Regions from separate parts of the Mus musculus genome. Here regions 1, 3 and 4 are each reported to be linked to region 2. The links are microRNA targets in miRTarBase. Many come from high-throughput screens and were not tested one by one. Region 2 holds a microRNA gene; each other region holds the end of a gene's coding sequence.
What was found. Region 2 holds the annotated microRNA mmu-miR-449a-5p (UGGCAGUGUAUUGUUAGCUGGU, at 810-831, opposite strand). A microRNA usually pairs through its seed, bases 2 to 8, with sites in the 3' UTR of a target mRNA and lowers its output. Matches are read on the target gene's strand: a 7mer-m8 pairs with bases 2 to 8, a 7mer-A1 pairs with bases 2 to 7 and ends in A, and an 8mer does both.

Region 1 (3,207 bases), not on the chromosome of region 2:
GTCTGTGGAGAAGAGGCAAACCCCTGCCAAGAGGTCGGAGTCGGGCTCATCTCCATCCCGAGGCCACAGCAAACCTCCGCACAGCCCACTGGTCCTCAAGAGGTGCCACGTCTCCACTCACCAGCACAACTACGCCGCACCCCCCTCCACAAGGAAGGACTATCCAGCTGCCAAGAGGGCCAAGTTGGACAGTGGCAGGGTCCTGAAGCAGATCAGCAACAACCGCAAGTGCTCCAGCCCCAGGTCCTCAGACACGGAGGAAAACGACAAGAGGCGGACACACAACGTCTTGGAACGTCAGAGGAGGAACGAGCTGAAGCGCAGCTTTTTTGCCCTGCGTGACCAGATCCCTGAATTGGAAAACAACGAAAAGGCCCCCAAGGTAGTGATCCTCAAAAAAGCCACCGCCTACATCCTGTCCATTCAAGCAGACGAGCACAAGCTCACCTCTGAAAAGGACTTATTGAGGAAACGACGAGAACAGTTGAAACACAAACTCGAACAGCTTCGAAACTCTGGTGCATAAACTGACCTAACTCGAGGAGGAGCTGGAATCTCTCGTGAGAGTAAGGAGAACGGTTCCTTCTGACAGAACTGATGCGCTGGAATTAAAATGCATGCTCAAAGCCTAACCTCACAACCTTGGCTGGGGCTTTGGGACTGTAAGCTTCAGCCATAATTTTAACTGCCTCAAACTTAAATAGTATAAAAGAACTTTTTTTTATGCTTCCCATCTTTTTTCTTTTTCCTTTTAACAGATTTGTATTTAATTGTTTTTTTAAAAAAATCTTAAAATCTATCCAATTTTCCCATGTAAATAGGGCCTTGAAATGTAAATAACTTTAATAAAACGTTTATAACAGTTACAAAAGATTTTAAGACATGTACCATAATTTTTTTTATTTAAAGACATTTTCATTTTTAAAGTTGATTTTTTTCTATTGTTTTTAGAAAAAAATAAAATAATTGGAAAAAATACAATTGGGCCAACTTGTGTTTTCTTTTTCCTCTTCCTCAAACTTCCTTTCCTCAATTACAGATTAAAAGAATTTGACCATTTTCACAGGGTAGGTTTACAAATATGGGAAGGGGTTATCATTGTTAAAATGGGGCTGGGGGTCCTCAGGATTTCTAAGTTGTCTACAGGATGCTTTCTGTGGATAGTAATAAAAACCAGAGCTGTTAGTTAGGAATGGGCAAAAGGCAAGTGAGAAGGCTAGATGCAGGGAAGGGAAAAGCAAGAGGTTAAAGATAACAGCTAAATATACAGGAGGAAGAGATGGCAGAATCTCCTACAGTTAACCGAAGCCATTCCCTGGTTCACCTCAACCCAAGGACTCTGCCCTGCCAAAGAACTGGTGAGGGGAGGGAGAGAGAACCACCGTTTGTTCCTTGCCTCTTGCTCCCAGGTGATAGTCCCTTCACATCAGTATCTCCTATGCTTCTGAAAAAAACAGAGGAAGAGCATTACCACTGCTAAGTTGATCCTGGTTTTCCAAACAAGGACATACAAAGGTTCAGAGGGTTGCAGAGCTTAATGGGTACGAACACAACAAAAATAACCCAGGGCCCCTGTCTTGAAAACAAGCCTTGCTGCCTTGCTTAGTTGGGTGTCCTTCCGCTGGTTAGGGGTCTGAGAATGAGCGCTACAGGCTCCATTAGGAGCTTTGACAGAGTGCCACGAAAGAGGTACTATGATCTCTTTATACCTAGTACAGGTAGAAACAGACATGAAATAACCCATCCATGCACCCAGGGGATTCAAAACCACTTTATCCTTAGTGCATCCAGGAGGAAGATCCTAGCTACGAAGGAGAGGGCAGGAGTCATTAAAGCTTCACTACTCAAGAACTGGTAGACTTCAGTTCCCCTCCTTGTTTGTGGATTGGGGGGTTGGGGTGGAGGGTGTTGTGTGTACTCAGAGGCACATAGCTCACTCCTACCTTACCCACTTAGTTTTTAACATCAGATCCCTGCTTGCTCCTGGGAAGAAGCCAGTTTAGAAGTGCTACTGGTCAGATCATAAAATAAAACCTTGTTTTACATGAGTCATTATTTTAGAAATTGCAAGCTCGCCTTCCTCCCAAGCACTTTCACACACTCATGACACACGCTCATCAATGGCCCATGAGAAAGCCTTTTGGAACAGGTATCTTATTAATTATAAGCCTCTGAAAAGCCACAATCCAAACCAGAAACTGAAACATGTAGGTAAAGTCCAGGGAGAAAGGTACCCTAAATGTCCTAAATGACCCCATTGTCTCAGAGAAGGTCTCTAGCATCCTGGAGTGTCTTTGGGACTTTAATTCACCATCATTCATAAACCAATAAGTAATTACTATCTTTGACACCCCCCCCCCATGATCTATTGAAGCGTTTAACATTTAGTTTTTGATCTTATTTTTGGCTCTTTTAGACTCACCCTCAGCTTCAAACTGTTACACCCTCTATCCTACATTCAAAAGAAAACACAAACCCCAGTAGTAGTTTGAAATACTTTGAGTAGTTCAAAGGATTAGCAAAAGGGGGGAGCAGGGGGTGCTCTTAAATAGTTCCCTCTTTTTCCCCTTTGTGAGCCTAGGCTGGAGTGCAGCCCTGGGGTGACTCACTTGAGACCTGGGAAGGTGTTAGGTTGAATCACTCAGTCCAGGCAAGCCCAAAGAATAGAGGAAAGCATTCCTCATTAGGAAAACAACTCCTGTTCCAAATGATCAGGAAACAAGTTTAGAGATTCAGATTTGGCTGTGGGGATGGAATCGAAGTATCACAGCTCCCTATCTGGGCACTTCTCAGCTTTACCAAGCCAGGGAATGGTCTGAAAACAGGACATCGGCCAGCTTCCTTCCAGAAAGTCAGGCTGATCTTGACCATAACACAGGAAGGCTCTCCCAGCCAATCTGGAGTCCCAGGGGTCTGCAACATTGTGCAATCAAATTTATAGATAACAATCACGATGAGGGGTGAAGTGGGAGGAGCTTTCAGCTTGGTCTGGGATATACAAGAATTAGCTAGTCTCTTCTGTTGTTCACCCATGACACTGGAACTCAGTTTCCCCGAGAGGATCCCTGGGATGGTGCTCTTCAGGATAAACTGAGTGAGGAGGAAGTGTGACTTTATGCTATCATTCGGGGACAACACTAAAAAGCAATCAATTACACTTTAAGTTGAACAAAAGTTTCACAATACCAGGATAGTGCTTGAGTCATC
Region 2 (3,000 bases):
TTCATCAGGAGATTTTGGCCCAATAACTTAAAGAGTGCAGTCTTTTTCTTTTCTCTTCTATGTCTCTAGTAGTCACCAGTACACCACAGTGAGTTCTGGTGATTTCCTGCAGATGTCCACCTGAGGTCACCATATGACCTCTGACTCTGTTCCGTGAATCAAACGGCCTTCCAAAGAATGAGGAAGTATTTTAAATAATATTTATGGCCAGCTCTTCTTCTTTCTTTATAAACTAGATCTCATGTCCTTCCAATTATTGTAAAAAATATTTGCAATATTTTATACAAAATGGAAGAACTGAGTTGTCTCCCCAAATAAATAAGCCCATCCCTACCACATCCCCAAGATATCCCAAATTGTCTAGATACTTCTAGTGAAGATGTTTTAACGTGTGGGTCATTTTGAAAGTTAACACAAATTCTCCCTCCACTTGGTGTATACATAAAGTTGGAGAGACCTGCTCTACTCTATCATGAAACTGATTTAGTTGGAAACTTGGGCAAATACACAAGGCTTTCCATTTTATTCTAAATCTTGTGTTAAAACAACAAACACATAACTTTATAAATGCTTTGATAATGTCAAGCTAGGACTCAGAAAATATTACTTGAGTTTTTAAAGTAACAATGGTTAGTACTTTCACTGCTATAAATATGTCCTTGTGTCACCCCAAGCCACTAATAGCTGTTATCATAATAGTACCCCTCTTCATGGCAAAGCACATACATGAGCTGTAAATGCATGCTGGTGGTGATTGTGTGTGCAATAGGAGAGCAGTCGCATGTTAGCTGGTGCCGCTCACATACTCAACCAGCTAACAATACACTGCCAAGCCATCACACACAGGCAAGACAGCGCACCTCATTAACAAGAAGAACCCAGCCAGAAGGAAGTGGCAGGGTAGCTGTGGCTGCTGGCCTGACCCAACGCAGCCAGCTAACAACACTGCCTACCCGAGTCTGGCAAGTTCGGATTTTCACAGTCTGTGGAGTGGCTGAGGCTAAGTTTCTAACAGAAAGACACTGCTGCAGAGCTGCTGGAGTGTGGTGGCGTGGATACGGAGAGCAAGGGAACTCTGAGGGAGCCAGTTTTCTCCTTCCACCATGTGAATTCCTGGGATAGCATGGCAGTAAGTGCCTTTACTGAACCTTCTTGCCAACCCCAGAACTCTAATCTTAGTAACTGAAGAGGATTTATAGAGAAACCTTGTTTAATGTCTCCTAAACTATAAGAAACAAAATTTATATTACCAAGCTATACCCATGTTTTAAAAAAAAAAACTTTTAAGAACTTTAAATGTGGTTTTTGATGTTTTGTTTGTTTTTCCCCCTTGGGGGTGGGGGGTTGATTGGCTAATTTTTTTCTAGACAGGTTGTTTTTGTGTTTTTTTTTTTTTTTTTTTTTTTTTTTGTAGCCCTGGCTGATGTGGAACTGCTGTGTAGACCAGGCTGGCCTGGAGCCGGGAGATCCACCTGCCTCTGCCTCCCAAGTGCTGGCATTAAGTGCTTGACTAAGAACTCTGTATTCTTATACTTGGGTTTTCCAAATTTAATGTTAAGTTAAAGATGTTAGCAAAGTAAAAATGAATTAACAAAAGTTCAATTGAATTAGGCAGTAAAGTATCTAGAAGATAAAATAATTTGGGCAGGAAACATAACTAAAGACACAATGTAAAGGCTTTTAAATGTTATTTCTCTATAGGTGACATTAGTCACTGCATTTTAAAAGGCCAGCTATATATTTGATTTCAAGCGTCACTGATTGAATATAGAAAAATGTATGTTATCTAGAAAAATATTCAAATGGTGAGATTTTAGCTAATAATCTAAATTTAAAAGCATGTGGGCTATTTGGTGTAAAGAGAAGTAAGTGGTGCTAGAGATGTGAGTCAGATGAGGATTTAACTTTTTCATCCATTAAAGAAAGTACAGGAGCTGGAGAGATGGCTCAGCGGCTGAAAAGAGCACTGGCTGCTCCTCCAGAGAACACAGATTAGATTCTCAACACCAACAGGGCGGCCCCCAAAAGCCTGAAACTCCAGTTCCAGGCGATCAGAAGCCCTCTTCTGAGCTCCGCGGACACCACGCACACACGTGATGCACAGATATAAGTGCAGGTAAATAAACACAAGGTAATAAAAATGAGTTTCAAAAGAACACTCTTTTAAAAAGAACTGCAAGCTTTGGGTTAGAGCTTTAAGGGGCAGAAATACTATATTGGATCCAGCTTTTAGTAGCTGTCTTGAAGACACCTCCTTATCCACCAGATGGCACTATTTCCACGTCTTTGCATGCTTCTGAGTGCAGCAGAGGGTAGTGCAGCTAGCAACTGTTGGGATAAAGTTCTAACAGCCAGCTAGCAATGCACTGCCTGCCTGACACACCCACACTTCATCCTCTGTGGAGCCGGACACTGGGAAGCGCCCGCTAAGCAGGTATAAGTAGCTACATCAGTTGTGAGAATCCATTTCTTAAGTCTTCAGATTCTGTAAAGGTTTTTAATTTGTATTAATTCTCCCATAATTCCTGCAAATGCCTTCTATAGCAAGAATTAATTTGCTCGAGATCAGAATGAAGACAGAAGGGCAAGCCCAGAAAACTCACCTTGGGGGAACCTTGATTTCGCTGCTGCTTCATGCCGTTGGCGAGCACCCGCATGATGTTCTCCTTTGGAAATAGATTAACATAAGAAGGGAGAAAACTCTAGGAAAATCGTCACGGAGAGTGGGGAATTGTTTTGAATCCTGGGTTTGCTGATTCACTCATTCTTTCTAAAGCAACCAGGTATCTCCAGAACTTAAATTTCACACCGTTCAAAATTTAAACTAGGCTGTAGAATTTCATGGCATCTTTTGGTCCTTACTGGGTATTACAAACCGTACCTTCTGCAAGAAGCCCCATGGGAGGGTTGGGTCAAGAAAGAAAAGGATGGTACGCACCCACAACATCTCTTCTTCCGTCCGGATCTTCCTCCGGGCGGTGCGTTGCAGTTTCCACTCCA
Region 3 (3,237 bases), not on the chromosome of region 2:
AGGGAGCTGGGCTGGCTAGGGTGCCAGGAGAGGGCAAAACTGGAGAGCAGCTTTGAGCAAGGATGGGGGTTGCCACTGGCTATCGTCTTTCCCGATGGGACAGATGGAGGTGCAGCGCCGGCCCTGGCTAGTGGACTACGGGGAGAGCGGAGAACAGGTAGCTGGTTTCGTGAAGGAGTGTTCACACATCACCTTCCTCACCATCAAGGTAGGACTTTGTGCCTAGTGAGGGACAGCCGGGGCCAGAGCGGGGGAGTGGTGTGACTTCCCCGTCTCTCTCTGATGATTCTGGGTCACCCTTGATGCATTGGGCGAGCTTGCAGGGTGAGGAGGTGAAGAAGGAAGCGGCTGGAAGTGAGGGGTGATGCATGTTGGGGATCCAGATCTCTCATAAAGCTTTGCTCCCCAGGGTGCCGGACACATGGTCCCCACGGACAAGCCTCGAGCTGCTTTTACCATGTTCTCGAGGTTCCTGAACAAAGAGCCTTACTGATAGCTTCCGCTGCAACCCATGGAAATCCTCAGTACCTGATCAGCCCCTCTCGGCCTCTCTCAGCAGAGAGGAGTCCTCCGCTAATGCTCCCGTGGGGCAAGTCCTGTACTAAAACTGCCCAGACTTCTCACAGCCTGGTGCATCCCAGCCTGGGCCTCAGGGCGTCACAGACAGCCTAGGACCAAGTGAGCACTTTGTTCCGGCCATCGTGGGGTGGCCTGACCTCCCCGACTGCATAAAAACTGACCACCCCAGGACCCCAACAGAGCTAGAGAAACCCAAGGAGGGGGGTGGATGGATTCTAATTGATGGTTGACTAATTCTGGAATTAAATCGGGTATAGCTTCCAACTGGGCTCTTCTCTGTGGCACCGGGACCACTAACACTGTAGATGGGAAGGGGTTGGCAGGGGGTGCAGAGAAGACTTCAGTTAGGTTCCTGAATGCCAGCCACCCAGGTGGGGTGATGGGCTCAGGCAGCTGCAGCAGAGGGTGGGGGGACATGGGAGGCCGCAACGTCTGCAGGACGGTTCTTGTCAATCACTTCTCGAAGCCCTTTGGCAAAGTGGAGGTCAGCCCCAACAGTGACGAAGCCCTGCGGGAGGGGACAGGGAGCCTGGCTGGTTCAGTTGTTTGGAAACAGCCTCCAAACAAACACAAGACTCTTGAGCAAATCCCCTCAGGGGCCCCAGCTGCTTTGCGGCGTGGCGTATGTTCTCTGGAGCATGGCCCTGCTTCTAAGTTAAATCTTTACTACTTAAATAATATATATGTGAAGGAGCAACTAGTGTAAAGGGGTTTCGGGAAAACAGACAAGCACTGGGGTGTTGTAGGGACAGGAATGCCCTGGTCTACGGCCTCCTTTCCACAATGTACTTACCGCGTGGTTGGTCACCACCTCACGCACGAAGTTGATACCCTCAGGAAGGGGGATCTGCACCCCACGCCAGGTACGCTCTGTGGATGAGAGAGGCAAGCTCAGCCTGGGTGTCCATCAGTCCATCTGTGTCGTCATGTCCACCATCCACCGCCGTCCCCCCTTTGTTAGTCCGTGTCCCCACTCCATCCTCCCACCCTCAGTCCCTACCGTTCAGCAAAGGCATCACTCCGATTTGCAGCAGTGTCTTCAGTGGGGCCTGCAGTGGGATCAGCTGAGGGGGAAAAAAAAGGCAGGGGGGGGCGACAGACAGTGCATACAGGTTTGAGTGAGCGGCCAACTTGCCCCGAGGCCTGGACCCACCCTTTGCCATCCCCAACTCACCGCCAGAGACTCCAGCGCAGACTGATTTGAGTAGATTTGAAACCTGTGGGAGAGAAATACACCGTGAAACCTGGGAACACCCTTTCCTTGGGCCCTACCTAAAAGATGGCAGCAAGTGACAGCCTTCCCAGTTCTATCCAATCATCCTTCAGGTAGCTGCCATTTCCCAGGTGTGCATCCCTGAGTGCCTTTGGTCTCTGGAGCCCCCTTTCTTTAAGCCTACTGCTTTTCTTTTTTTTTTTCTTTTGTCTTTTTTTTTTTTTTTGAGACAGGGCTTCTCTGTGTAGCCCTGGCTGTCCTGGAACTCACTCTGTAGACCAGGTTGGCCTGGAGCTCTGAAATCCGCCTGCCTCAGAGTGCTGGAATTAAAGGCGTGCGCCACCACTGCCCGGCGCCTGCTGTTTTTCATTTGTCAGGAATGCCTATGTGCCACGCTCTGCGGCTAGGTAAATAAGTATGGTTTTATCTAAGGAAATTCCAACAATCTTTACTCTCTGTCAGATACCAAACTTATTCAAAAGAATTAAAATGGCTCTGCAAAATGGCTCAGTGTGGTGGGTAAAGGGCCCGACTGCTTGAGTTTGATCCCTAGGGCACACATGGTAGAGGGGAGACTGGACAGGTTGACCTTTGACCATCAATGCACTGTGTGACACGTGAGTGCCCTCACACATAAATGCATATGTTCATAAGCTCACACACACGAGTTAATTACAAAAAGGAAAGCCTGCCAGCTGTGTTGGCCCATTTCTTTAATCCCAGCACTCAGGAGGCAGAGGCAGGTGGCTTTCTTTGAGTTTGCAAACAGCCCCAGTGAGATTTTTTTTTTTTTTTGTCTCAAAATGGGTTTGAGGAGGGGCACAATACTGAAGAGATGGCTTAGAGGGCTTGCTGCTAGCTGGGCAGTGGTGGAACACGCACTTGGGAGGCAGAGGCAGGCGGATTTCTGAGTTCGAGGCCAGCCTGGTCTACAGAGTAAGTTCCAAGACAGTCAGGACTACACAGAGAAATCCTGTCTTGAAAAACAAAACAAAAAGGGGGGGGGGGGGAGGAGGCTTGCTGCTCTTCTAGCGGATCTGAATTCGGTTCCCAGTGCCCACATCTGGCAGCTCACATGGCTTATAACTCCAGCTTCAGGGTATCTGAAGCATTCTGATCTCTCCAGGCTCCCGTACATATACATATTACACACCACACCACACACACACATACACACCACATGCATACATCACACACATCGCACACCACACCACATACACACCATGCATACACACATTCCACACACATACCACACACTTATCAAATAAGAGGACAGGAGAAAGTTGATGGATGGTTCAGTGTCTAAGAGCTCATACTTCTCGGGGGAACCAGCACCCATGACACACAATTGACGACGTCCTGGAACTCCAGGAGAGGGCATTACTTTTGCACCTACATGCACACACACATACCCACACATACAAATTTGAGAGCTGCCAAGGTGG
Region 4 (3,237 bases), not on the chromosome of region 2:
GAGAATTGGGGGACAGGGGAAGGTTTTGTTTTGTTGTAGTATATTCAAAGAAGACTCCTTAACCTTCAGGAAAAAAAAATTAGTGGCGAGAATCTCAAAGATTTCTGTGACTTATTAAAGAAACAGGCAGCTGAAGTGCATTTTAAGACAAAAAAATAAGCAGATTTTACATCAAACATTTTGTATCAAACTCAGCTTTTATATCAAATATATCAAGTATATAATATATACATACATACATATGAAATCATGATTACATATATAATCATGAAAGGTATTAAATCAAGTTCCAACTCTTAAGTACTGCAGTGCATTTCACACGAAATAGGTAGCTCTAAAACTGTTGAAGCAAAAGCTGCATTTAGTCCATGACTGAGAGCTGGCCCTGGGCACACTGTACTTCCGAGGGCCTTCTCCGTCATGGCTGGACATGCAAAGGTGGGGTAAACTATTCCTAAGCGATCAGCAATGAAAAGATCACATTTATAAAACAGGCGTGGTCTCCAGTGCCAGCAAACCACGGGTGGTGGTACATGCCGGTAATCCCAGCACTCAGATGGTGGAGGCAGGAGGATCAAAGTTCAAGGTCAACCTTGGCTACATAAGTGAGTTGGAGGTCTGCCTGTGCTACATGAGACCCTGTCTTAAAGAGATGAAACCAAGAAACGAACAGAAACAATACAAGGTGTGTATATGCAAGCTTCTTTCTAGGTTGTTCATCTATGAAGCCAGATGTATCCTGGGGCTGGGATTATAACCGAATCATCCCCTGTGAACTAAAGAACAAACCTAGGTGGCTGGCTCAGAAGACCGTTATTAGTAGCCACTCAGTTAGGTAGCCATCATCTGTGACTGTGTTACGTTTGGGTGTGATGCCACTGATGTCAAGAGGTGGTCCATGGAAGAAGCCATCGAGCCTTAGGCTAAATCAGTGAGGTTAGGTTTGGATAGAGCAACTGTGGTACCAGCTGGGGATTTGGAAACCTGGTAAGTCAGAATGAAGATCAAGAAAGTTTCTCAAAAAAAAAAAAAAAAAAAAAAAAAAAAAAAGAAAGAAAAAGAAAAAGAAAAAGAAAAAGAAAAGAAAGTTTCTCAAGAGAGTAAGCAGCAGGGTTCTGGGAGGAGGGAGGGGCCTTTCTGAGTTCCTATTGGCTAAAGACAAGTTATGCATTCCAGATGAGGAGACCAGACTAAGAAGCTGACTAGAGGGCCCAGGTAGTCGACTGGAAATTTAAATCTACTTGGTGCCAGTACCCTGGGAGATTTCCATAGGGAAACATCATTTGAAAGTTCAGGACCCTAAGTAAATTCTCAAGCTGGGATGGGGTTCCCTGGCTTGGCCCAGAGCATCCATCCGTACTGCAGGCCATTCTAAGGGATGCTGCCCAGGTTGGTGTGTTCGTAAGTAGAGAGAGCAGGCCTTCCAAGCACAGGGACCATCGTAGGTGGTGCTCTCCATCTATTTGTGCAACTGCTAATTTTATCTGGACAGAGCTCACATGGGTCAGTTTGGAAGTGAGAAGAAACCTTGAACAACTGACCCGAGGCACAGACACACGATAGGGCAGTGGCAGATCTCACCTAGGAGATGCGACTGTACCCTTCAGGCAGTAAGAACTGGCTGGCCTTGAGTAGAGAAGAGACATCATTCATTGGTGTTTCGGAAAAATCCCTCCGAGAGCAAAATGGATAAACTGTAGAAGTAAAATCTGTGGCCATAACACATTCCTAACAGCTACAATAATAGCAATGCAGTAAGGGACTAGGGGCTGGCGGTCGAGGAAGGCAAGAGGTAAAGAGGACCCAAAGGAAGCCCTGCAGGGCTGGGTGACTCTGCACAGGGTTCTAGAGAAAGAACACAGCAGATACATTGGCAACTGTGGTCGAGAATGGATACACCCTGTCAATTCAAACTTAAGACCCAGAATTTACCTAGGAAGCCAGTTTCCTGGGTCATGTGGATCAACATTAAAGACTTAGCATAAAAATGAACAAATCAGGTTTGACTTACAGGTCCTTTGGTAAGGTCTAGCAATGATTACCCATAAAGGAAAACACTCAGTAGAAGATATTTTAAAATAGAAAGAAAATGATAAACCCACAAATCTCCCTCCTTACAAACACACTGCCCACACATCATCTCAACCGAGTCTTTACCATGTACCAGGACAGAGACGGGTTCAAAGGTGACCCTCAGACTCATCCCCACTGCAGGTGGGGGATGTCAGGCTGCTTCCTATATATACATTTTTTAAAGGTTGATTTTTTTCCACTGGTCAGTAAGAAATAGCTGCGAAAATAATATTGAGGGCAAGAGAACAGAGAAATAGCAATATGTATATATATAAAATAAAGGCATAATAGACGTGAAGGCACACTGCGTCGGAAACACACAGCTGGGGTAAAAACCCACGAGCGACTGGGTCATCCGCACTAGACTGACTTGGGTGGCCTTTTCCTCTTTTTGGGAACCATGCTGAGCGGAACTGGTGAGAGCGAGGAGATCCGCAAGCAAGCGCCTCGTTAAGAGCTAAGTCAGCAGCAGGGGCCGAGAGAGTTGATCTTACCATGTTTCAGATGTAGGCAGCTGTCATTCTGGGACCTGTACCTGCAGAAAATTGTGTCTTTAAGAAATGTTTATGGAGAGGTTTCTGTACATTCCAAATATGTAGTAGCTATAACACCATGTAGACCTGCTCGCTTTGCCCTTTGGGTTCTCATGGCGGCCCTGTCTGTGTGTTGTGCAGTGCGTGTGGTGGCCCTTTAACGGACAGGGAACAGGACCGACATGGGCCCTCGCTGACTCCTGCCATCAGTGTGAGACAAGCCCCACTTGTCCTTTAGTATTAAAAACCCCAGACACATGAGAGATGCTCAAGGGAATGCAAGGTAGCATGTTGTACTGTCACCGTAGAAGTGGCATTCTTAAGGACTGTGCAAACAGCAGAGGCAGAAGCAAAGAGAAGACAGACAACAAGAAGGGAGAAAAAAAAAATCAACCACTCCTCGTAACTATGGCTCTGGGGCACAGGGATGGGAAAGGAGTCTCTACAGGCACATTCACACTGAAAAGAAAAGTCTTTTTGAAACGTTAAGGCATCTCAGGAAAGGAAGAAAGCCGAGTTAGGGATCACATGTGACAGTCACAGAATGCAGCAGCGTCTAGGAAGATGCGGACTGTTTACAAGGAGTCGGCAAGAAGCAGGCGCGTCAACAGAGGGCCGTGGGACACCTACC

Region 1: the mRNA of Myc is a reported target of mmu-miR-449a-5p. The part of its 3' UTR that is shown has no 7-base or 8-base seed match.
Region 3: miRTarBase lists Ctsa as a target of mmu-miR-449a-5p. Seed matches in the 3' UTR shown: 7mer-m8 at 2,136-2,142.
Region 4: miRTarBase lists Lef1 as a target of mmu-miR-449a-5p. The part of its 3' UTR that is shown has no 7-base or 8-base seed match.

The regions. Positions count from the first base shown.
Region 1 is chr15:61,989,383-61,992,589 of GRCm38, forward strand. Myc (myelocytomatosis oncogene) reads left to right here. Exons shown (of 3, transcript NM_001177352.1): 3 at 1-979. The coding sequence ends at 526. Among named protein-coding and RNA genes, the nearest start is that of Myc, 5.6 kb to the left of the region's middle.
Region 2 is chr13:113,035,380-113,038,379 of GRCm38, reverse strand. It overlaps Mir449a (microRNA 449a), which reads right to left and starts at 846; the gene lies at 756-846. Cdc20b (cell division cycle 20B) reads right to left here. Exons shown (of 12, transcript NM_001281487.1): 1 at 2,939-3,000; 2 at 2,604-2,666. It overlaps Mir449c (microRNA 449c), which reads right to left and starts at 2,397; the gene lies at 2,289-2,397. It overlaps Mir449b (microRNA 449b), which reads right to left and starts at 961; the gene lies at 882-961.
Region 3 is chr2:164,838,742-164,841,978 of GRCm38, forward strand. It overlaps Ctsa (cathepsin A), which reads left to right. Exons shown (of 15, transcript NM_008906.4): 14 at 104-208; 15 at 410-2,291. The coding sequence ends at 493. Pltp (phospholipid transfer protein) reads right to left here. Exons shown (of 16, transcript NM_011125.2): 13 at 1,754-1,796; 14 at 1,580-1,643; 15 at 1,373-1,449; 16 at 777-1,087. The coding sequence ends at 965. Among named protein-coding and RNA genes, the nearest start is that of Ctsa, 6.6 kb to the left of the region's middle.
Region 4 is chr3:131,204,304-131,207,540 of GRCm38, reverse strand. Lef1 (lymphoid enhancer binding factor 1) reads right to left here. Exons shown (of 12, transcript NM_010703.4): 10 at 3,237; 11 at 2,568-2,608. The coding sequence ends at 2,574. Among named protein-coding and RNA genes, the nearest start is that of Hadh, 66 kb to the left of the region's middle.